Linked DNA regions of Elephas maximus indicus. Each later gene encodes a partner of the first gene's protein in a complex. Links are inferred from orthologs where the notes say so. Each region holds a gene or a part of one and is shown on either strand. Other genes may lie near its edges. The genes, in order: LRRK2 and RAB29.

Region 1 (12,023 bases):
CTAGAAGAAATGGATGAATTCCTAGAAACACACTACCTACCTAAACTAACACAAACAGAGGTAGAACAACTAAATAGACCCATAACAAAAGAAGAAATTGAAAGGGTAATAAAAAAAAAAAAAACAACAACAAAAAAGCCCTAGCCAGGAGGTCTTCACTGCAGAGTTCTACCAAACTTTCAGGGAAGAGTTAACTCCACTACTGCTAAAAGTATTTCAGAGCATTGAAAATGACGGAATACTCCCAAACTCATTCTATGAAGCCACCATATCCCTGATACCAAAACCAGGTAAAGAAAATTACAGACCTATATCCATCATGAATTTAGATGCAAAAATCCTCAATAAAATTCTAGCCAATAGAATTCAAGAACATATAAGAAAAATAATTCACCATGACCAAGTGGGATTCATACCAGGCATGCAGGGATGGTTCAACATTAGAAAAACAATTAATGTAATCCATTTTTATCATATAAATAAAAGACAAGAATCACATGATTTTATCAACTGATGCAGAAAAGGCATTTGACAAAGTTCAACACACATTCATGACAAAAACTCTCAGCAAAATAGGAATAGAAGGAAAATTCCTCAGCATAATAAAGGGTATTTATACAAAGCCAATAGCCAACATCAACATCATCCTAAATGGAGAGATTCTGACAGCATTCCCCTAGAGATCGGGAACCAGACAAGGATGCTCTTTATCACCACTCTTACTCAACGTTGGTCTGGAGGTCCTGGCCAGAGCAGTTAGGCTAGATAAAGAAATAAAGGGCATCCACATTGACAAGGAAGAAGTAAAAATATCTCTATTTGCTGATGACATGATCTTATACACAGAAACACTAAGGCATCCTCAAGAAAACTACTGAAACTAATAGAAGAGTTCAGCAAAGTATTGGGATACAAGATAAACATACAAAAATCAGCTGGATTCCCCTACACCAACAAAAAGAACATCAAAGAGGTAATCACCACATCAATACCATTTACAGTAGCCCCCAAGAAGATAAAATACTTAGGAATAAATCTTACCAGAGATGTAAAAGACTTGTACAAAGAAAACTACAAAACATTTCTGCAAGAAACCAAAAGAGACTTACATAAGTGGGAAAACACACCTTGCTCCTGGATAGGAAGATTTAACATTATAAAAATGTCTATTCTACCAAAATCGATCTATACATTTAATACAATTCCGATCCAAATTCCAATGATATTCTTTAATGAGATGGAGAAACAAATTACCAACTTCATATGGAAGGAAAAGAGGCCCCAGATAAGTAAAGTATTACTGAAAAAGGAGAACAAGGTGGGTGGTCTTACTCTACCTGATTTTAGAACCTGTTATACCACCACAGTATTCAAAGCAGCCTGGCACTGGTACAACAACAGATACATAGACCAGTGGAACAGAATTGATAACCCACACATAAATCCACCCACATATGAGCAGTTGATATTTCACAAAAGCCCCAAAAGTATTAAATGGGGAAAAGACAGTCTTTTTTAACAAATGGTTCTGGCATAACTGTATATCCATCTGCAAAAAAATGAAACAAGACCTATACCTCACACCATGCACAAAAACAAGCTCAAAATGGATCAAAGAAACTAAATATAAAATCTAAAGTGATAAAGATCATGGAAGAAAAAATAGGGAAAATGTTAGGAGCCCCAATATGTGGCATAAACAGTATACAAAACATTATAAAGAATGCAGAAGAAAAGCTAGATAACTGGGAGCGCCTAAAAATCAAACACCTATGCTCATCCAAAGACTTCATCAAAATAGTAAAAAGATTACCTATGATTGGGAAAAAATTTTTAGCTATGACATTTCTGATCAGCGCCTGATCTCTAAAATCTACGTGATACTGCAAAAACTCAACTACAAAAAGACAAATAACCCAATTAAAAAATGGGCAAAATGTATGAACAGACCTCATTAAAGAAGACATTCAGGTAGCTAACAGATACATGAGGAAATGCTCACGATCATTAGCCTTTAAAAACCAAAAAAAAACAAACCCAGTGCCATTGAGTTGATTCCAACTCATAGCGACCCTATAGGACAGAGTAGAGCTGCCCCATAGGGTTTCCAAGGAGCGCCTGGTGGATTCAAACTGCTGACCCTTTGGTTAGCAGCCGTAGCGCTTAACCACTATGCCACCAGGGTTTTCCGCTCCAACAAGGCTGGCGTTAATCCAAAAAACACAAAATAATAAATGTCAGAGAGGCTATGGAGAGATTGGAACACTTATACAGCACTGGTGGGAATGTAAAATGGTACAACCACTTTGGAAATAGAATTGGTGCTTCCTTAAAGAGCTAGAAATAGAACTACCATACGATCTGGCAATCCCACTCCTTGGAATATATCCTAGAGAAATAAGAACCTTTGCACGATCAGATACATGCACACCCATGTTTATTGCAACACTGTTTACAATAGCAAAAAGATGGAAGCAACCAAGGTGTCCATCGACAGATAAATGGATAAATAAATTATGGTATATTCACACAATGGAATACTATGCATCAATAAAGAACAGTGATGAATCTGTGAAACATTTCATAACATGGAGGAACCTGGAAGGCATTATGCTGAGTGTGAAATTAGTCAGTTGCAAAAGGACAACAATTGTATAAGACCACTATTATAAGAGCTCGAGAAATAGTTTAAACAGAGAAGAAAATATTCTTTGATGGTTACAAGAGGGGGGAGGGAGAGAGGGTGGGAGAAGGGTATTCACTAATTAGATAGTAGATAAGAACTACTTTAGGCGACAGGAAAGACAACACACAATACAGGCGAGGATAGCATAAGTGGACTAAACCGAAAGCAAAGAAGTTTCCTGAATAAACTGAATGCTTTGAAGTCTAGTGTAGCAGGGGCAGGGGTTTGGGGACCATGGTTTCAGGGGATATCTAAGTCAATTGGCGTAATAAAATCTATTAAGAAAACATGCTGCATCCCACTTTGGAGAGTGGCGTCTGAGGTCTTAAACGCTAGAAAGCAGCTATCTAAGATGCATCAATGGGTCTCAACCCACCTGAATCAAAGGAGAATGAAGAACATCAAGGATACAAGGTAATTACGAGCTCAAGAGACAGAAAGGTCCATATAAACCAGAGACTACATCAGCCTGAGACCAGAAGAACTAGATGGTGCCTGGCTACAACAGACAACTGCCTGACAGGGAACACAACAGAGAGCCCCTGAGGGAGCAGAAGAGCAGTGGGATGCAAACCCCAAATTCTCATAAGACTAGACTTAATGGTCTGACTGAGACTAGAAGGACCCCAGTGGTCATGGCCCCCACCCCTTCTGTTGGCCCAGGACAGGAACCATTCCTGAAGCCAACTCTTCAGACATGGATTGGACTGCCCAATGGTTTGGAGAGGGATGCTAGTGGGGAGTGATCTTCTTGGATTAGGTGGACACTTGAGACTATGTTAGCATCTCCTGCCTGAAGGGGTGATGAGAGGGTAGAGAGGGTTAGAAGCTGGCGAAAGGGACTCGTAAAGAGAGAGTGGAGGGAGGGAGTGGGCTGTCTCATTAGGGGGAGAACAATTGGGAGTATGTAGCACTGGGTTCTTTGTAGCAAGGTGTATGTAAGTTTTTGTGTGAGAGACTGACTTGATTTGTAAACTTTCACTTAATGCACAATAAAGATTAAAAAAAGAAAATATCATAGCTTGGGTCAGGTACACCTTAGTCCTCAAAGTGACATCTTTGCTTTTCAGCACTTTAAAGAGGTCTTTTGCAGTAGATTTGTCCAATGCAGTACATCATTTGGTTTCTCGACTGCTGCTTCCATGGGTGTTGATTGTGATCCAAGTAAACTGAAATCCTTGACAGCTTCAGTCTTTTCTCCGTTTATCACCATGTTGCTTATTATTCTAGTTGTGAGCATTTTTGTTTTCTTTATATTGAGGTGTAACCCATACTGAAGGCTATAGCCTTTGATCTTCATCAGTAAGTGCTTCAAGTCTGCTTAGTGTTTCAGCAAGCAAGGTTGTGTCATCTGCATATCTCAGGTTCTTAATAAGTCTTCCACCTATCTTGATGCCATATTCTTCTTCACAGAGTCCAGTTACTCTAATATAGTATAGAAAATAGATGGAATAATGAATATTGATTGAGGAAAAGAAAAGGAATCTTTTATACTTAGATTGACTTTCTCTTAGAAGGCAGTTAGGTTTCAATCTCTTGCAAGATAATAAACCAGTAGTTTGGGAAGGGAGACATAAAAGGGAGACTTCCTAGAAATATGAGTTATTGAGTAGGTAGTCAAAAGATGACATAAGAAACCAGTTAGGAAGGCATATACAGCAGGTATGATAACAACTACAAGTATGAGAGTTGTGTGTGTTTTAAGTTTTATATGGAAACTTTTATATCTTATAAAAAGTAGAGAATAGTAAAATAAACCCCATGAAGCTATCTCCAACAATTATCAATTCAAAAGTTGGTGTTTTTGCATCACTACCTCCACCCATTTCATCCCTTCCCCCATCACTGGGTTACTTTGAAGCAAATCCTCATCATTATATTATTTTAACTGTAAATAGATAAGCGTGTGTCTTTAAAAGATAATTGGTATTAATAAATGGTACATATAGAAACTTGAATTGCTGTGTCTTTAGCTGTATATATTCTCAACAACAATAACAAAATAAAATTTGGGGGGAAAAATGTACAACAACGGCAAAACATTCACAATACCAAGGTTGAATTTAAACTTGTTTTATTAACCTAATGTTTGAAGTAAAGCTAGGTCATTTTGATTAAAATGGCAGAATGTAAAGAAAAAGAGCACTCAATTTGGTGTTAGACATTCTACCTGGATTTAAGTTCCAGCTCTCAACTTCCCATTGTTTGACCCAGGAAAATCTCTTCATTTAACATCTCAAATCTCAATTTTCCATTAGTAAAAGAAGAAGAAATTGTAGCTGCCTTGTGCATTTCAGAATTATCATTAGACTGAGGTAACAGATGTGAAAGGAATCTAAAAACTGAGAAGTTCTAACTTCCAGTTCAATCCTCTCCTGTGTAAATAGCCCTTACCTTGTGGTTTGCCTTGGCCTGAAGACAGTATCATTTTTGTCTACAGTGTAGAAGTGCCTTGTCTACAGTGTTTCTAACTGGTTTCCCTTCCTGAAAAACACATTACTTTGGTCCATTTTTAAAAACTTTTGATTATAGACACCCATTTTCATTAGTAATTCTTAATAGTAAGAGAGCAATATTTTTTGGCTTGTTTGTTTCACCTTTTCTGCTGGTCATTTCATTTACCCTGTCTTTCTCTTCAGTTTTAATAGTACAGAGAATTGATTACTTTTGGCATGTCCACTATCAGGAATCTTCCTAGTGCAAACACAAAATTTCAAGGTATTTTTAGTGGCCTTTTGGAGCCCTGGCAGCGCAGTGGTTACGAGTTTGGCTGCTAACCAAAATGTCAGCAGTTGGAACCCACCATCCGCTCCTTGGAAACCCTATGGGGCGGTTCTACTGTGTCCTATAGGGTCGCTATGACTCAGAATGGATTTCAAGGCAATGGGTTTGGTGTTTTTTTTTTTTTTTTGGTTTGGCAACCAGATTTTCAAATAACAGAAAAAGCACCTTTTATCTCCACGCACAACAATCACAAAAAAAGAATTTAGCTAGGCAAATTTTGACTGCTAACATCTCCATCCTTGCGGAGAAATTAATGCATCTCCCTGTAGGTGGAACCCTAAAGAGAATGTTGCCCTAAAAGGGGCCGACTGGGCGGTGTCCTCTTTTCCCAAAGCCCTGATTTCTATTCTCAGATCTGGAAATAGGCGGCTTTCATTTTCCTCTTCTGAGATCCCACTTTCCGTGGGCCCAAAGGAGCCCGGGTTGGCCGGTCTGGGACCGTAACCTGCCGGCTGCAGGCTGTAAGCCTCCTCCCCACCGCTGCAGGACTCCGGGTCTGGGGCACTTGGCGGACTCCGCTGAGTCAGTTTCTTCCTGCGCGACTCCCTTGCTGCACTGCCTCGGCGAGTGGGATCAGATCGGGCCAAGGAGGCGGCGCCCGCCCGGGGGTTCCCAGCGCAGTGGGCTCCGGGGCCACAGTCGTCTGGCCGGCCCCCCCTGGAGCCCCGCCTCGGCAGCCGTGCCACGGTTCAGCTTTCTACCAGCCTCTCGCAGGCCACCGAGCTCATTTTTGGGGCCTGGGCGGCGGAGGAGGAAGGCTCGAGGAGAGGGAGGGGAGCGCAGGGCGTGGAGACGCCGCCTTTCTCATAAACAGGCCGGAGCGGGTGCCCATGGGGCGTACGGGCTGCCAGCAGTGAGCTGTACTTGCCCGGAACAGTGGCCTAAGCCCCAGCCCCTTGTCTGAGCAGCGGGCCTCCTTGCCCGGAGGGGCAGCGGATACACAGCAGGGGCCATCATGGCCAGTGGCAGCTGTCAGGGGTGCGAGGAGGAGGACGAGGAAACTCTGAAGAAGTTAATAGTCAGGCTGAACAATGTCCAGGAAGGAAAACAGATTGAGACGCTGGTCCAAATCCTGGAGGATATTTTGGTGTTGACGTACGCCGACCACGGTAATCACTAGGGAATGATTCCCTCCACCCTCACCCCTTTTTGCAAACTTTCTCCCTTGCCCTTTGGAGCTGCTCAGTCCAGGACTCCTGAGAAGCCTCAAACTCCCTACTCCTTTCCTTAAAGCGGAAAGGAGCTGAGAATTCCAGGAAGATCTTGAGCTCACCTCGTATTTGCTTCCCCCCCTTTTTGGGACATTAAAGGGCTGCTGTGAATTGTGACTGACTTTGCTTCTTTCCCCTCACCCCCTTCTTTTCCAGCCTCCAAGTTATTTCAAGGCAAAAATATCCACGTGCCTCTGTTGATCGTCCTGGACTCCTACATAAGAGTCGCGGGTGTGCAGCAGGTAAGGAGCTGCTTTCATTCTGCCCTTTCGCCCTTTCTTTTTGGAAAGCGATGTTTTTCTGTCAAAGTTATATACCTGGAGTTCCTGGTTATTTCTGAGATTTGGCTTGATGAACCTCTGACAGTGATTTTAAGATGAGAGTATTGTCAAATCTTTATCTAATGTTAACTGTGTAAAAGTGCTTGCCCGGAGTTCCAAGAATGTCATTAAAAGGTAACTTAATAAAACTGACTGGCAGAACGTGGTTGGGGGCTGGGGAGAATAGTAATGGGTTGAGGTACTCTGTTACTGGCTAGATGAGTTTCAGGGTGTTTAGACTGAATTATTCTTAGGATTTTCCCAGTGCAGAGCTATGTCCTAGATTTGACACCATTGCCAATAGTTTGGGAAAGGGGAATAATTAACAGTAATAAAACACAATTAAGTAACTGGCAAATTCTCATAGGTTTCAGAGATTTTTAAAAAAATTTTAGTTTGAAGACAGTGAAGTACCTAGCCTTTTTAAAGTTTGCCTTGTGTCTAATGAAAGTGATGTTTTAGGATTCCCCTATATGTTTATTTTTTGTGTTCCCATGTAAACTGAATATAAAACTGAAATTTTTAGAATCGGTGTCATAGGAAACTCAAAAAATCGAGTTAGTATATCTTAGGTATATTAAAAAGTGAAACCTAAGATGGTAAGTAAGAATGATTTACGGTAAAAACAAATTTCTGACTAAGGTGATAACTTCCTTTTGAGATTTGGGGAACTGAAATGAGCTTTGTCATCTGTAAAGTCCTGATGGAAAATAAAATTAAACTTTGAATTCTGTGGAGGTGTAGACAGAAAGCCAGTATTTCTTCCTGTCTAATTGAGATGCCACACAGGGGTAAGAATTCTCTCTCTCTGTCATTGTGTTTATGTATCTTTGTCTCTATCTCTATATCAGCTATGTCTGATACTAAGTATCTAACTTCTTTTATATAAGCACATTCATATCTGGGATAAATGGTTTCTTTTATTTTTCTTCAACTATGAAATGTTTTCCATCTGACTATTGATTTCCTGGCTACTATTAAACAAAACCAAGAAAAGCTAGAGGCATGATAAGGATGCTTGCTCTTTTTAGCACTCGAGGTCTGAATTTGCCCATGGAACATGAATCACATTTTAGGCACTGGTCCACCGTGTTTGCTGCTCTCCACCCACCTACCCCCATTTCCCTCGCCTCCATGTTCATGTGACTGGTTCTGGCAGCCTCCATTCCTGGACTCTGCCTGGCAGAGTCACCTTGCTCAGTACCACTCAGGACAATGGGATCCTAGGTGGGCTTTGGTCTACAGAGTCCAGAGCAAGCCATGATAGGCTTGAGACCCCAAGGGAACCTGAACATACTTCCCATCTGATTCTTCTTCACTTTAGAAACTGCCCAAACCTGAGTCACACTATTCTGTAGTAGCTATGAGTATCACTCAATATTCTGGCCCAGTAGGTACTAGAGACAAAATATGGAGGGAAGTAAGGAATTGTCTTCTGATTTGATAATTTAATGGAATAGAATTATTAATTATAGCACCATCTAAGCCTGCAAAGGGCATTGTATATATTATATCATTTGATACCATTGCCTGTTCAGAAATCTCACTGGATAATTTCCTCTCATAAAAGCTCAGCAAGAGGAAATGGCTTATTTGGGATCACCCAGCTAGTAGCAGAGCCAAGACTTTAACTCAAGTCTTCTCGTAACTTTGAAGCCTCTTCCGTCATACTGTCCACGGCTTCTGAATATCACAGACTTTTCATGTAAGCAAGTACAAAAGCACAATGTTTTGGTACAACCACTGTGGCCATACTAGGCACAGAAACATTGTAATTTTTGATTCACATCACTCTTATCAAAGGGATGTAGAAACAGGTCTCTCTACTGACATTTTGATACTGCACTTAAAGGGAAGAACTTTTTTTTTTTATAAATTTCTTCTCATTGGCTAGTGTAATTATTATTTTTTATGTTGAATTGTTTAGAAGTGCTAAATTAAAAGCTCTTAATGATGAACCACCATTCATCTGTCAGTTCGTTGTACTGTGGTGGCTTGCATGTTGCTGTAATGCCGGACACTGTACCACTGGTATTTCAAATACTAGCGATGTCACCCATGGTGGACAAGTGTCAGAGGAGCTTCCAGACTGAGAAAGACTAGGAAGAAGAATCTGGCGATCTACTCCTAAAAAAAAAACTAAAAAAAAAAAAAAAAAACAGCTAGTGAAAACATTACGTATATACTATCACTATGAGTCAGAAGTTCAATGATGAACTAAAGGCGTTATGGTAAATGCGCTTTAAAAAAAAAAAAAGACTTTCAGAAGTCATTTATCATGATACTCCAGACTCTGAATTTGTATTTTTGAGGCCTTTTCATGTTTTATTAATGCAATTTAATAAATGACAATCTTTAGAGAATTGACAGGCTAGCTGCCTTGTAATTTTCTTTTCCTGGCAGCCATCTGATCATTTTAACTTATTGTCTGTGCTTCTCAATTTTATGTTTTCTTTATCCACACAGTTTCAAGTTTTAGAGAAGGGGAGCAAAATAAATGAAAATGACTAAAGTTATCTTTAATGCTAAAATCTTTCCCAGTGTATACTAATTAGATGCTTGAATTTACAGAATAATTATAATAAAGTGAAACTACCAATTCAATTGTATTGTAACTGTGTAGGATGGAAACCTCTTTTTGAAAGATAAGCTCTTAATTGAAGACTAATGGATCAATTATTACCTCTGCTTTGCTGCCAGAGATTGTTTAATCGTAGAAGCTCCACATAGTGACTGAAAGCTCAGTTGTCTGAACCTTTTTGCAAAGCAATTACTGATGCTGCTGCTTCACGAAACAAAAACAAAAACAGATTTTCTCCCTAAGTCAGCCATGCAGGTTGAGATGAGTTTAGCATCCAGTGTGATTTTTGTCCCCAGAAGCTGTTTAGAATGTCATTTTTCTTAAACTCTTGGGGAAAAAAAAATCTCAGTGTATTTTATGAAAGCACCAGAATAGTCAGTTTCTATGACAGCTGGATTGCCAATGCCTGTTCAGCTTAACTGAAGGAGGATGTCTTAGTTAAATATAAGGTAAAAATAGGTGTCAGATGTTGACTTTTCAAGCAATTTGAAATTATTTAAAAGGAAACCGTGACAAAGTAAAGCAATTCATGCACGATATGGAAAAGATGCAGAAATAATATTCTGTTGAGATCTCACGTAATCTTTTTTTATCTTGGTAAAATGTCCCTTGCTTACTTTTTGTTTACTCCCATAAGCAAGTAAAGAACTTATAGGGCTCTAGGTGCCACTATTCCTTATTGAATGCACATAAATTCTTCCTCTTGTCATTCAGCTCTCTGTGTCCCTCCAACACCACTTATGCATTCAGTCTTGTCTGGCAATAGTCCTCCCACGCCACCACCCGTAGCAGTCCTTGAAAATTTAATACCTCACTCTGCTCCTAGTTATCAATTTTGTTGTTAGGTGTTGTTGAGTTGGTTCTGACTCAGCAACCCCGTGGACAACAGAATGAAACGTTGCCTCGTCTTGTACCATCCTCAGAATCGTTGCTATGTTTGAGCCCATTGTTGCAGCCACTGTGTCAATCCATCTCGTTGAGGGTCTTCTTCTTTTTCACTGACCCTCTAACTCACCAAGCATGATGTCCTTCTTCAGGGACTGGTCGCTCCTGATAATATGTCCAAAGTACATGGGATGAAGTCTCGCCATCCTCACTTCTAAGGAACATTCTGGCTGTTCTTCTAGGACAGATTTGTTCATTCTTCTGGCAACCCATGGTATATTTAATATTCTTCACCTGTACCATAATTCAAATGCATCACTTCTTCTTCAGTCTTCCTTATTCATTGTCCAGCTTGCACATGCTTATGAAGGCAAATGAAAATCAATTTTAGTAGGTTCAATTTCTATACTTTCTAAGACCAAATTTGTAATTTAAATTTATAATTCTTTTGAAATTTGACTCAAATCTACTTCTTCCATATTAAATCGTTCTCTGAGTAATTCTAGCTCACAATGAATACCATTTTCAGGATTTATATCGTGTTGGTACTTATTGTGCATCTCACACTTAGACACATCTTCATTAATTTCTAGATACTATATATATGCATTTTCTGTTTTTATTTGTTCCTGGCCATATCAAGTACAGTTCTATAAGGTAATAGAAAGAATTGAAGATTCTTTAAATTTAGAGAAGAATATACAGTAGACGGAGTGGGTTAACATTTATCTCCATTTCCCCTCCCCCCTGTTGGTGGAGACCAACTCATTCAAATTGCCATCAAATGTAAATGGACCAAAAATATAAAAAAAAAGGCATTAATAAGATCATTATTTTTTTGAGAATGTAAAAGAGACAAGGGACGTTTGTAATCAACTCTAGACCTCATCAGCTCATATTTATATGTTCTAAAGAAATCTAAAGGGGGCCACTGAGGGATTCCACCTCCTGTCTATATTGTAGTCCATTAATCATTGGACTTAAGACTTTGGTGTTTCAGTGGTAGAAATCTCACCTTCCATGCAGGAGACCCAGATCTGATTCTTGGCAAATATACTTCATGAGCAGCCACTACCAGTTTGTCAGTGGAGGCTTGGGTGTTGCTATGACGCTGATGCTGAGCAGGTTTTAGTGGAGCTTCCAGACTAAGATGGACTAGGAAGAAAGGTCTCACAACCACCTTCCAAAAAATCAGCCACCGAATACTCTGTGTGTCACAATGGTCCAATCTGGGACACCATGATTCAGGGGCAACTTGATGACAGTTAACAACAACAATCATTCTTTTGCCACAGTTAGTCTAGCTCTATTACTAGAGGAAGTCATTCCTGATAATAACTTACACTTTCACCACTAATATCTCCAACTTCCCCTAACCTTCCATTCCAAGCCACTTCATTTTTTCCTATAATTAAAATTGTAACTATTTAGAAGAAATTCTGTCAGATAGCTATGACTTAAAAAGTACTAAGGTTGATTATAACCGTTATTACACTTAATAACCTTGGCAAGTCCCCTAAAACTGTTTTTTGTTATGTAGTTTTTATCTAGACAAT
Region 2 (11,943 bases), on another chromosome or scaffold:
TCCTACCTCAGCCCTACAGAATCAGAATGTCCCTATTGAACAAGTGCCCTGTGTGATTTTTATGCGCACTAAAGTTTAAGAACTTACAGTGTGGTAAGCATTTGAAAGTGAAAGAAGTCTGAAGGGTATTCTGATGGGTGAAGGACCCTGGGCAAAGATAAACATAAAAAATGAGATGGCTTTTCAAGAATATAAGGAGGGCGGGTTGGGGGAGGGGGATAAGAGACACTTAAGAGCCACTGAGCTTCTGTTAAGAGTGATGGAAAAAGTTGGAAATAGATAATAGTGACGGTCACACAACATGGTAAATACTATTAATGTCACTAACTTGCACGTGTGAAGAATGTTGAAATGGCAAATATTTTATGACAATAAAAAATAAAAAGTGTAAGAAACCCCACCTTGTTGGAGGGAAGAAATTCCCATTTCAGGTCCGTTGAGATGGAATGAAGTTGGTTAGGTAGCGTGGGGCCAGCATGAAAGCCTGGACACCAGCTCAGGGAGGTTGACCAGTTTTTAGAAGGTTTTTTGGTAGGCATGAAGGAACAATAATAACATTTTAGGAGAATCATCCTGGCCAGTTGTGTAGGATGAATTGAACGGAAGAGAAACTGAAGTCAGTAAGACCACTGAACAGGTTATCGAAGTAATACAGGTGTGAGATGCGGAAAGCCTGAGCTGGGAAAGTACACTACATATGGAGCAGAGAGGGTGGATGGAGGAAACATTCTGGAAGGAGGAATCAGAACACACATGATGCCTGACTTTTTAGAAGGGAAATGGGCACACAAAAATCAGTTGTGTTTCTATACACCAACAATGAACGATCTGAAGAGGAAATCAAGAAAACATGCCCATTTACAATATCATCTAAGAAAATAAAATACCTAAGAATAATTTAGCCAGTGAAGTGTAAGACTCATACACTGAATACTGTAAAATGTTGCTGAAAGAAATTAAATAAGACTTAAATAAGTGGAAAGACATCCCATGTTCATGTTTTGGAAGACTTAATATTGTTAAGATGCCAGTATTACCCAACCAAAAAAAAAAAAAAATTACCCAAAGCAATCTACAATTTAATGCAATTTGTATAAAAATTCAGAGAGCCTACTACATGGGCACACCAGCCTAGGGGCAAAGACAAGAAGGCAAAAGGGAACAGGAAAGCTGGTAACAGAGAACCCAGGTTCAAGAAGGGGAGAGTGTTGACATGCTGTGGGGTTGGCAACCAACGTCACAAAACAATGTGTGTGTTAATTGTTCAATGAGAAACTAATTCGCTCTGTAAACTTTCATCTAAAGTACAATAAAAAAAATCCCAGCAGCCTTTTTTTAATGAAATGGAAAAGCCAATCCTCAAATCCATATGGAATTGCAAAGGACCCTGGACAGCCAAAACAATCTTGAAAAAGAAGAGCAAAGTTAGAGGACTCACACTTATAATTTCAAAACGTACTATAAAGCTACAGTAATCAAAACAGTCTGGCACTGGTTGAAGGACAGGCATTTAGACTAATGGAATAGAATCAAAAGCTCAGAAATAAACCCATACATCTATGGCCAATTGATTTCTGACAAGGATGCCAAATCCATTCAATAGGAAAAGAATAGTCTTTTTAGTAAATGGTACAGGAACAGCTAGATGTCCACATGCAAAGAAATGAAGTTGGACCCATACCTCACATCATATACGAAAATTAACTCTAAATGGATCAATGAGCTAAATATAAAAACTAAGATCACAAAACCTTAGTCAAAAACATCGGGGTAAAACTTAAAGACTTCGTTTTTGAAAGTGAATTCTTAAGTATGACACCAAAAGCATGATCAATGAGGGAAAAAATAAATTGGAGTTCATCAGAATGAAAAATTTTTGTGTATCAAAGGACTTTACCAAGAAAGTGAAGACACAATCTATGAAATATTTGGGAACTATATATCTGATAAGATAAGAATTTACTATCCAGAATATATAAAGAACTTCTGCAATTCAACAACAAAAAGACAACCCCAGTTGAAAAATGGGCAAAGGACTTAAATAGACATTTCTCTAAAGAAGATGTACAAATGGCCGAGCAACACACAAAAAGATGCTCAATGTCATTAGTCATTAGGGAAATGCATATCAAAACCACGGTGAGATACCACGTCACACTCACTTGGATGGTTATTATTAGAAAAACTAAAAAGTGTTGGCAAGAATGTGGAGTGCCCTCATGCGTTGCTGGTGGAAATGTAAAATGGTGCAGCCACTGGGGAAAACAGTTCGGTCGTTCCTCAAAATGTTAAGCATAGAATTACCTACTAACGATTCTACTCCTAGGTATATACCCAAAAGATTTGAAAACAGGGACTTAAATAGATACTTGTATCCCAATGTTCATAGCAGCATTATTCACAGTTGCCAAAAGGTGGAAACAGCCCAAATGTCCAACAACAGATGAATGGATAAGCAAAATGTGACACACATACAATGGAATATTACTCAGCCATAAAGAGAAATGAAGTTCTGATACATGCCATGACATAGATGAACCTTAAAAACATTATACTGAGTGAAGCAGGTCAGACACAAAATGACAAATATTGTATGATTCCACTTATATGGAATGTCTAGAATAGGCACATGCATAGAGACAAATGCTTGTTAATAGTTATCAGGGGTTAGGTTAGAAATAAATGATGCATTGCATTGGGCAAATTTGCTGCAAAAGACCTCTTTGAAGTGTTAAAAAGCAAAGATTTCACTTTAAGGACTAAGGTGCACCTGACCCAAGCCATGGTGTTTTCAATCGCCTCATATGCATGTGGAAACCCTGGTGGTGTAGTGGTTAAGAGCTTGGCTGCTAATCAAAAGGTCAGAAGTTCAAATCCACCATGCATTCCTTGGAAACCCTATGGTGCAGTTCTACTCTGCCCTATAGGGTCGTTTTGAGTCAGAATCAACTCTACAACAATGGTTTTTTTTTTGTTTTTTTTTTTTTCAGATTCATGTGAAAGCTGGGCAATGAATATACCATGAACTGCCAGAAGAATGAACAAATCTGTTGTGGAAGAAATACAGCCAGGGTGCCCCTTGAAAGCGAGGATGGCAAGGATTTGTCTTATGTACTCTGGACATGTTATCAGGAGGGATCAGTCCCTGGAGAACGGCATCACACTTGATAAAATAGAGAGTCAGCAAAAAAGAGGAAGACCCTCAATGAGATGGATTGGCACAGTGGCTGTAGCAATGGCTTCAAGCATAAACGACAATCATGAGGGTGGTACAGTACCAGGCAGTGTTTCCTTCTGTTGTATGTAGTGTCACTGTAAGTCAGAACTGACTCGATGGCGCCTAACAGCAACAACAGGAGTTAGGAGGAGGAGGAAATGGGAGTTACTGCTAAAGGGGTACTGAGTTTCTGTTCAGGGTGATGTAAAACTTTTGGAACTGGTGGCGGTAGCACAACATGGTGAATGTAGTATCACTGAATTATATACTTAAAAAGGGTTAAAATGGCAAACTTTTTGTTATATATATTTTACCACAATAAAAATTTTAAAAAGCAGTGGGGGGGGAGGGCTGTAAATGGACATCTGTAAAAGGAAATATTAATAATGCTCATGGTCTGAAGCCTCAGCAAAGGGAAGAAATGACAAGGCCAGTGACCGAAATAGGGAAAGTGAGAAAAGGAGCCGTTATTTGGCCAAGTGATGAGTTCAGTCCAAGAAGTAATGAGAGGGAAGCTGAGCTGTGGTGGAACATCCAAGTGGAGGTTACTTTTCGGAAGTTGGATGTAATGAATTAGAGGTAAAAACAGAGAGATATTTGAAACCAAGGGCAATTCACCAAAGGGAAGAGTTTATAGAACAATCAGCTCAGGGATTGTCTTGTTATCTAGGGTTGCTATAACAGAAATACCATAAGCAGATGGTTTTAATAAAGAGAAATTTATTCTTTCACAGTCTAGGAGGCTAAAAGTCCAAATTCAGGGTGCCAGCTCCAGGCGAAGGCCTTCTCTCTCTCTCGGCTCTGAAGGAAGTTCCTTACCATCAATCTTCCCCTGGACTGGGAGCTTCTCAGTGCAGGAACCTCAGGTCCAAAGGATGTGCTCTTCTCCTGGCACTACTTTCTTGGTGGTATGAGGTCCCCCTGGGTCTCTTTGCTTGCTTCTCTCTTTTACATTTTAAAAGAGATTGGCTTAAAACATAATCCAGTCTTGTAGATTGAGTCTCATCAACATAACTGCCGTTAATCTCATCTCATTAACTTTATAGAGATAGGATTTACAACACATGAAAATCACATCAGATGACAAAATGGTGGACAATCGCACAATACTGAGAATCATGGCCTAGCCAAGTTGATAGATATTTTGGGGGGACACAATTCAATCCATAACAGGGATCAAGAACCAAGCCTTAGGAAATACTTAGGGGGAGACGGGATGGAGAGAAACATAAAAGAAAAAGAGGTAGGATGACTATGAAAGAACAACGTCACAGAAGTCAAGTGGAAATAGATTTTAAGCCATTTGAACTATGTCAAAGCAAATAGGAATTGAGAAGGGCCATTAGAAAGGGATCTGAGACATTGTTAAAGATGTCTGACCTCCCCTAGCTAGGGTAACAAACAATTTGAGCTAAATAAATTGTGAACCATGCTGATATTCTTTCCTGGCAGAAAGCTAAGTGATAGTATTTCTACCAATAGATGTGGGCAGGATTTCACGAAGTCAGCCCTCTGGGCTATTTCCCCACAGCCCTACTGCTCCCACTTCTATTCCTGTGAAAAGCATAGAAAATGAAGCTCACCTTGCTTGCCAAACATACATCTTGTCCCCTTACCGCCTGCCTAAAAAACAGGCAGGTCGGAAAGGTTACAGGATGAAAATTTTAAATTACTTGCAAAACGAGTTTAATGATGATATGGCCAACAGCAGCAACAAATAAATAGAGCAAGGCTGATCCAATTAGCTTCCAGCTCAAATGATACATGTTTTGTCTAGAATATGGACTAGAATAGGGGCTGTGAGAGTGAGAATGAGGAACTATCTCTTGTTTTCTATCTTCATTGCTGTGGCTAGTTATTAAATGTTGTAACTTTTGGCATGGGATTTTCTAAGGGCCGGTCTCTTGGGTCAAGTTTCCCTGAACTTGCCTGATACTGGGTCATACCCAATGCCGTCAACTCGGGAACAAAAACCCAGTGCCTTCAAGTCGATTCCGACTCATAGTGACCCTATAGGACAGCGCAGAACTGCCCCATAGAGTTTCCAAGGAGCGCTTGGTGGATTCAAATTGCCAACCTTTTGGTTAACAGCCAAGCTCTTAACCACTATGCCACCAGGGTTTCCACAGAGCTCCATAGAACCTTTAAAGATACGAGGAATCTAATTTATCTGTAGAGGGATTTAGGAAGGTGAGATCATGTTGAACAAATCACCTGGAAGAACCCAGAATTATTTTAATATAAGATCCCAAACTAGTGACGAATTATGGGGGTTGTGAAAGTCTTGAAACTTCGCGTAGGCTTTTTTAATAAAAATAGTTCATAAACTACTTTTCCCAGGAGGCCTTGCGGCGAGCCTCCACACTCGGCTAGTTCTCTTCACCGCGAAGTGACATGGGAAATGTAGTGCTTCTCGCAATCTGCACGTGACGCATGCGGAGGGAGGCGAGGGGACCGCGCCACCAAGGCCAGCCAGGGTCCAGGAGTGAGGTGTGGAGTACTCTTATCTCCGAATTTGGTTTGTGCAGTGGGGGCAGGATCCCCATCTTCTGGCCCTAACCTTGAAATAAGCTGACCCGGCTTCAGTCGCCCACTGGAGCCGCCCGCGGGAAGTGCGGGTGGGTGAGGCAGCGAGGTGCTCCGTCCCGTTTCTCGGCAGCCGGGCCGGGAGGGGCAGAAAGTTCCAACAGCCGGGGGGCTTGGAGCCGAGCCCTACGCCCCACCCAGGCTGCGGCCGCGGGGGAGGAAGCGCGTAGAGGTGGAGTGCAAAGTTTCCTTTTTTTGCTTTTTCGTCAGAGCCGCCCCAGAGGCGGTGGGTGGGAATGCCTGACCTGAGTGTGTAGGGAGTCCGGAGCTAGAGGGGTTAAAACGCTTCCCACCTCCCTAAAACGCACACCCCGCTAGCCCGCCATGGGCAGCCGCGACCACCTGTTCAAAGTGCTGGTGGTGGGGGACGCCGCAGTGGGCAAGACGTCGCTGGTCCAGAGATACTCCCAGGACAGCTTCAGCAAACACTACAAGTCCACGGTGGGAGGTGAGACCTCGCTGGGGACAGGGGGGCGGCTGGACAGAGGCCCGACTAAGGACTCGAGCTGTGGGCCCAAGTGGGGTGGAGGGGAGGGAGCTCGTGTCCGTGGGTCCTTCTCAGGTCAGGAAGTGCGTGTTCGGGATCCTGAGGGGAGCGATTACTGGAGGTTTGATTTGCATGCCCCCTTGGGCTGCCCCACTTAGGTTTTCCCCGACAGAGCCAGCTGCCTGGAAAGAGATAGGGCGGAGGTGTGAAGATAAGAAATGGAGAAGGGAGGGTGAGAGAAAGCAGTTTCTGCGTTTCGCGAGCGAACTGTGAACTCAAGTTTCTTGCAGCCTTCGAAGCTGTCACAGGCAAATCTTAGCGAGGGGCAGGGGCAGCTGAGACCCTCTGTATGGCTCGGTAGGTGCCAGCTGCGACTGTGCGTTGTGGAGGGAGGAACAGAAGGATGTTTCACCTGGCCTCGAGGGGAGGACCTAGGACGTTGAGCTGGTCTGAAGGACCCTAGCTTTGTTATGGGAGTGCCTGGGCAGGGTGGGGACGGCAGATCCTCTGTGGGGCCTTGGCCACAGAATCAGGTGCTTATCAGGGCTGATGAGCTGTGTATTGTCCACTGATTGCTTAAAGGCAACCTAGGAATTCTTTGAAAAATGTGAAATATACCACTTTTCTGACCGATCTTCCTACCCCTCTTTCCCTCAAAGCGGGAAGGGGAGGAGGACAGGGGACACCAAGACTTAACTCATTTCTCTCTCAGGTGTGGATTTTGGACTCAACTGAGCTGTTTTTTTCAGAGATAGAGATGCCTTGTGGTTCCCTTTTCGTTAACTAGAGCGTGTTTAGCTGAGAGGAAACCCTGGTGATGTAGTGGTTAAGTGCTACGGCTGCTAACCAAAAGGTCAGCAGTTCTAATCCACCAGGTGCTCCCAGGAAACTCTATGGGGCAGTTCTACTCTGTCCTGTAGGGTTGCTATGAGTCGGAATTGACTCCATGGCAGTGGGTTTAGTTTTTTTGGTTCTTAGCTGAGAAGAACTAGTAAAGGGAAGAAGTAATTTAAACATTTATTTGTCTCTGTTAAAAGAACTTTTTTAAAGGAAAACACTTGTAACCCATTGCCGTGAAGTCAATTTGGACGACTCATAGCGAGAGCGACCCCATAGGACAGGGAGCCCCATAGAGTTTCCAATGCTGTAATCTTTATGGGAGCAGATCGCCAGCTCTTTTCTTCCTCAGAGAGGCTGGTGGGTTCAAACCGCCGACCTTTTGGTTAACCACTGCGCCACGAGGGCGCCTTGTAAAAACTTGCATTAGTCTGAATTTTGAAAATGGGTACTGGTGTTCATACAGAATTTTTTAAAATATCAAACATTTACATTGCAATTAAAGCATTCTCTTTCCCCTGTAAGACCATCAGCAAAATTAAGGGTTTAAAGTTTCGAAGATTGTTTCCTAACCACTTTGCCTCTTCCCCCTACTTCTAAATAATATGAGGGTCCCTATTTCATGGATGGATTGGAGCCTTGGTGGCACAGTGGTTAAGAGCTCATCTGCTAACCAAAGGGTTGGCAGTTTGAATCCACCAGCTGCTCCTTGGAAACCTTATGGGGGGTTCTACTCTGTCCTATAGGGTCACTATGAGTTGGAATTGAATCAACAGCAACGGGTTTTGTTTTGTTTTGTTTTCCTTTTAATTTAATGGATTATGGAGTCCCTGGGTGACATAAGGAAAACCTGGTGGCATAGTGGTTAAGGGCTGCAGCTACTAACCAAAGAGTTGGCAGTTCAGATCCTCCAGCCACTCCTTGGAAACCCTATGGGGCAGTTCCATTCTGTCCTTTAGGGTTGCTGTGAGTCGGAATCGACTCGACAGCAGCGGGTTTGGTTTTGGTGTTTTGGGTGATGCTGTGTGCTCAACTACTAGCTGAAAGGTTGGCAGTTCAGAGCCATCCAGAGGTGCCTCCGAGACAGGCCTGGCAATATGCTTCTGACAGGTCACAGCCTTGAAAACCCTGTGGAGCATAGTTCTGCTCTGCACACATGGGGTCGCCATGAGTCAAAGCCGCTAACAACAACAGTATTTCATGGGATTTGAGTTAAAAATGTCTTGCTAATTAACTTTTAGCAATTGCTCTGGTTTTCCTTTCGTAAAGAGTATACAGTAAAAAATCTGCAAAGCCAGGACTTGTGTAAGACGGAAACCTGCCGGAAGGAAAACAAATATTTTCCAGTGTGGTAGAACTGTGCCTTGTCAAAGGCAGAAGGAAGACTTCCGAGACTCGGAAAAACAAGGCATTCCCATCGAGTTCTGGTGCTGACAGTTTTCACTCTGACTCTAGCAAATTTTTTAGGGGGGGGGCCGGGGGGCGGCGTTTATTATAAATGTCCCCCAGCTCTTATTTCTGTCACAGATGTGGAAGAATGTATTTCCAGACCTCAAAAATTATCCTATTTCTCTGTTATCAAAAAGCTTTTCTCCTTGGAATGCTTGTTCAGCCTTAACTCACGGAGTCTCAGCACATCTAATGGAATCCTGAACAGATGTGGCGGTAGATTCCAGCGTAGCTCTTAAGCGCTATCCATGCAGTGTTCATTTCCTGGGAATCCTCTGGGACTTTTTCACTTTAATCCTGTTCCGGCCTGGGATAATTTCTATCGCCTTATGGAGGATATAGAATCCCCCAGGGCGTATTTTTCTCCCCCTGCACTTGAATTAGAAACCAACAGTGAAATGGAATGTGGAAGATGCAAGAGCGACCACACTTACCTCGTTTCTCCTCCCACCCCATCATCCCTTCCCTGAGAAAACCCCCAAATCTCCCAGAGACTGTTTAACCCGAGATTAGGAGTTGTTTTCATAATGACTGTCACCTTCCTGTCCCCAGCCTTTGAGACAAATAGTGTCAAATAAATTGTTTTGGCAGCAGAGTAACAGCTGGAGACTCCTTCGGAGAGGAAGTATGAATTATCTGTCTCATACCTAGTACACGAGGGTGGGCTCGGCTCAGTCTGTTAAGGGCTTAAAAATAAATGAGTAATCCCCAAAACTATTGCCCTGAGATACTCTTCAGACCTTGGATGTAGACTAGCCCCTGAGGCCACCTTATTTAGCTCTAAAAAATAAGGATTATCACTTGTAAGTACTGTGCTCCTTTAAAAAATCACCTGTACGATACCAAACAGTCAACAGTTACTGTGAAACAAAGACGGCAATATGAGGGGGCAGGGAGATGAAAATGGGACAACCAGAACGGAAATAATGAGTGTGTTCACACATTGTGAAGGGTGCAGCCAGTGTCACTGAACAACTCGCGTAGAGGTTTTTGAATAGGAACTTAAACGGCTGTGTAAACCTTTACTGAAAACACAATAAAATATTTGTAAAAATTAAAAATAAAATGGGTTTGGGAGCTGTGTGCCCCTAGAGTTGTAACTGCAGATTTGGTCTGGGTGTTTTTCAAAGGTTAAATTTCATTAACGTATGATATCCATTATACTTTCAGTGGATTTTGCTCTGAAGGTTCTTCAGTGGTCTGACTCGGAGATGGTACGGCTCCAGCTGTGGGATATTGCAGGTGAGCTGGGCAGGCTGGATAGGAACAAGGGAAGAAAGTTCAGTTCAGCTAGCAGTCTGTCAGAGAAAAAGGGGGACAGCCAAAACCCAAACTTCTTTCTGAAGGTGGAATGGTTAAGTTGCTCTGAGGATACAGAAACTTAAAGTTTTGCCCTAAACAGATGTAGAGCAGTGTTTGTGTGACTAAAGGGAATGGTAAGGTGGTAGGTTGTCCAGACCATAGGTAGACACTTCCACAGCAGGGGCAGGGCACTTTTTCTGGGTTCTCAGCTGACCTTGATGAGAAAAAAGATCCCTAGAAAATAGAGATAATAATAAGAAGTAGTAGTTTGTCTTGGAAGAAGTACAGCCAGAATGCTCCTCAGAAGCAAGGATGGCGAGACTACATCTCATATACTTTGGACACATTATCAGGAGGGACCAGTCCCTGGAGAAGGACATCATGCTTGATAAAGTAGAGGGTCAGTGAAAAAGAGGAAGACCCTCAACAAAATGGATTAATGCAGTGGCTGCAACAATGGGCCTATACGTAAGAACAACTGTGAGGATGGCACAGGACCGGGCAGTGTTTCATTCTGTTGTACATAGGGTTGCCATGGATTGGAACTGACTCAACAGCACGTAACAACAACAGCAACAACTCTTAGTACGTGCAAGCATACTCCTGAGCATTTTAGACTCACTGGCCCACAAATCCTCACGACAATTCCATGATAACAGCTACTGCCTTTACCCCTATTTTACAGGTGAGAGATAACGAAGCACTGAGAGCTTACCTTGCCCAGAGTCACATAGATAGTAAGTGGCAGAACAGGGATTTGAACTTGGACAGCCTGAGTGCAGAATCTTTACTACATATACTGCCTTTTCCCCCACAATCAAGGTAGAGAAGGCAGCGGGTCAGAGAGGGGACTGAAACTGTTTCTAAAATCACCTCCTTGTGTACCCTCCCCTTTCTCCACAGGACAGGAGCGCTTCACCTCTATGACACGACTATACTATCGGGATGCCTCTGCTTGTGTTATTATGTTTGATGTTACCAACGCCACTACATTTAGCAACAGCCAGAGGTGGAAACAGGACCTGGACAGCAAGCTCACACTGCCCAGTGGAGAGCCCGTGCCCTGCCTGCTCCTGGCCAACAAGGTATGGGATCAGTCTAGGAAAATGGCCTATGGTCAGAGAATATCCGTGGTTTAGAGAATATAGTCCAAGATGCCGTCTGGTTCTAGGCATCTTTTTCCCCTTCTCAAGTTGGCAGAATCATCTCTTCCGCTTTTCAGGGGATGGTGAGAGTGAAGCTTTCTTTGGGAAGAATGTTTATTATAGATTTTAGATGCTGGTGTCCTTAGCCCTTAGTTGGTGCTGGAATGTTTTAAATTCACAGGTATCTGAGCAGTGTTCCTATTCCCAGGAAGTTTATGATGTTGTCTTTTATTTCTCTGCCAGTGTGATCTGTCCCCTTGGGCAGTGAGCCGGGACCAGATTGACCGGTTCAGTAAAGAGAATGGTTTCACAGGTTGGACGGAAACATCAGTCAAGGAGAACAAAAACATTAATGAGGCCATGAGGTGAGTAACTTACGCTGTTCTGGGCATAAGTGTGTAGATTTCCCCACCTTCCACTGCCGCCCCATGGGCCCTCTTTTTTTGGTTCTGAGCCAACAAGAACAGATTGAGTCATTGGAATGCCAGTTTCTGAAGGTCAGGGATGCATCTTCCCTCCTGAGATAACTGGGGACAGAGGGGCATTTGAACCTTGTGGCTTTTCTGAATGCTGTCTTTTGATAAAACAGATGATGTCTGCCATTTCTCCATCACCTCCAACCAGTTCTCAGGCTTATTTTTTATTTGCTTTTTAGAGTCCTCATTGAAAAGATGATGAATAATTCCAGAGAAGACGTCATATCGTTGTCCACCCAAGGGGACTATATCAATCTACAAACCAAGGCCTCCTCCAGCTGGGCCTGTTGCTAGTAGTGTTTGACTTGTTTTTCATTCCAGTTTAAGGAGATCTTTTCAACTCTTCCCTTTGGATGCTCACCAAGCAGTTTTATTAGGTACATTTGAATGTGCCTTGAAACCATCAGTCGGCTTGTATAGCAGCTGTCCAGTAAGGAGGCCCAT

What was found.
Region 2: the proteins of LRRK2 (region 1) and RAB29 are in contact, whole or in part, in a cryo-EM structure (PDB 8FO2), measured with the Homo sapiens proteins. The link is inferred for Elephas maximus indicus from reciprocal best matches to the Homo sapiens genes LRRK2 and RAB29. Residues at the interface, in NP_940980.4 of Homo sapiens: Arg361, Lys362, Arg399, Met402, Leu403, Leu406, Met407, His408, Leu437, Ser438, Lys439, Gly440, His442, Leu443, Asn444, Glu447; in NP_001129134.1 of Homo sapiens: Leu7, Val42, Asp43, Phe44, Ala45, Leu46, Arg58, Gln60, Trp62, Leu76, Tyr77.

What each region holds. Positions count from the first base shown.
Region 1 is NC_064822.1:94,615,458-94,627,480, forward strand, and holds the start of LRRK2 (leucine-rich repeat serine/threonine-protein kinase 2), read left to right. Parts: upstream 1-5,816; 5' UTR 5,817-6,425; coding exon 6,426-6,579; intron 6,580-6,836; exon of another isoform or gene 6,837-6,837; coding exon 6,838-6,923; intron 6,924-10,619; exon of another isoform or gene 10,620-10,738; coding exon of another isoform or gene 10,739-10,741; intron 10,742-12,023. UniProt on the Homo sapiens protein: Serine/threonine-protein kinase which phosphorylates a broad range of proteins involved in multiple processes such as neuronal plasticity, innate immunity, autophagy, and vesicle trafficking.
Region 2 is NC_064836.1:15,347,599-15,359,541, reverse strand, and holds the start of RAB29 (ras-related protein Rab-7L1), read left to right. Parts: upstream 1-5,623; 5' UTR 5,624-5,707; exon of another isoform or gene 5,708-5,735; intron 5,736-6,013; 5' UTR 6,014-6,127; coding exon 6,128-6,251; intron 6,252-9,746; coding exon 9,747-9,818; intron 9,819-10,781; coding exon 10,782-10,963; intron 10,964-11,266; coding exon 11,267-11,388; intron 11,389-11,678; coding exon 11,679-11,793; 3' UTR 11,794-11,943. UniProt on the Homo sapiens protein: The small GTPases Rab are key regulators in vesicle trafficking. Essential for maintaining the integrity of the endosome-trans-Golgi network structure.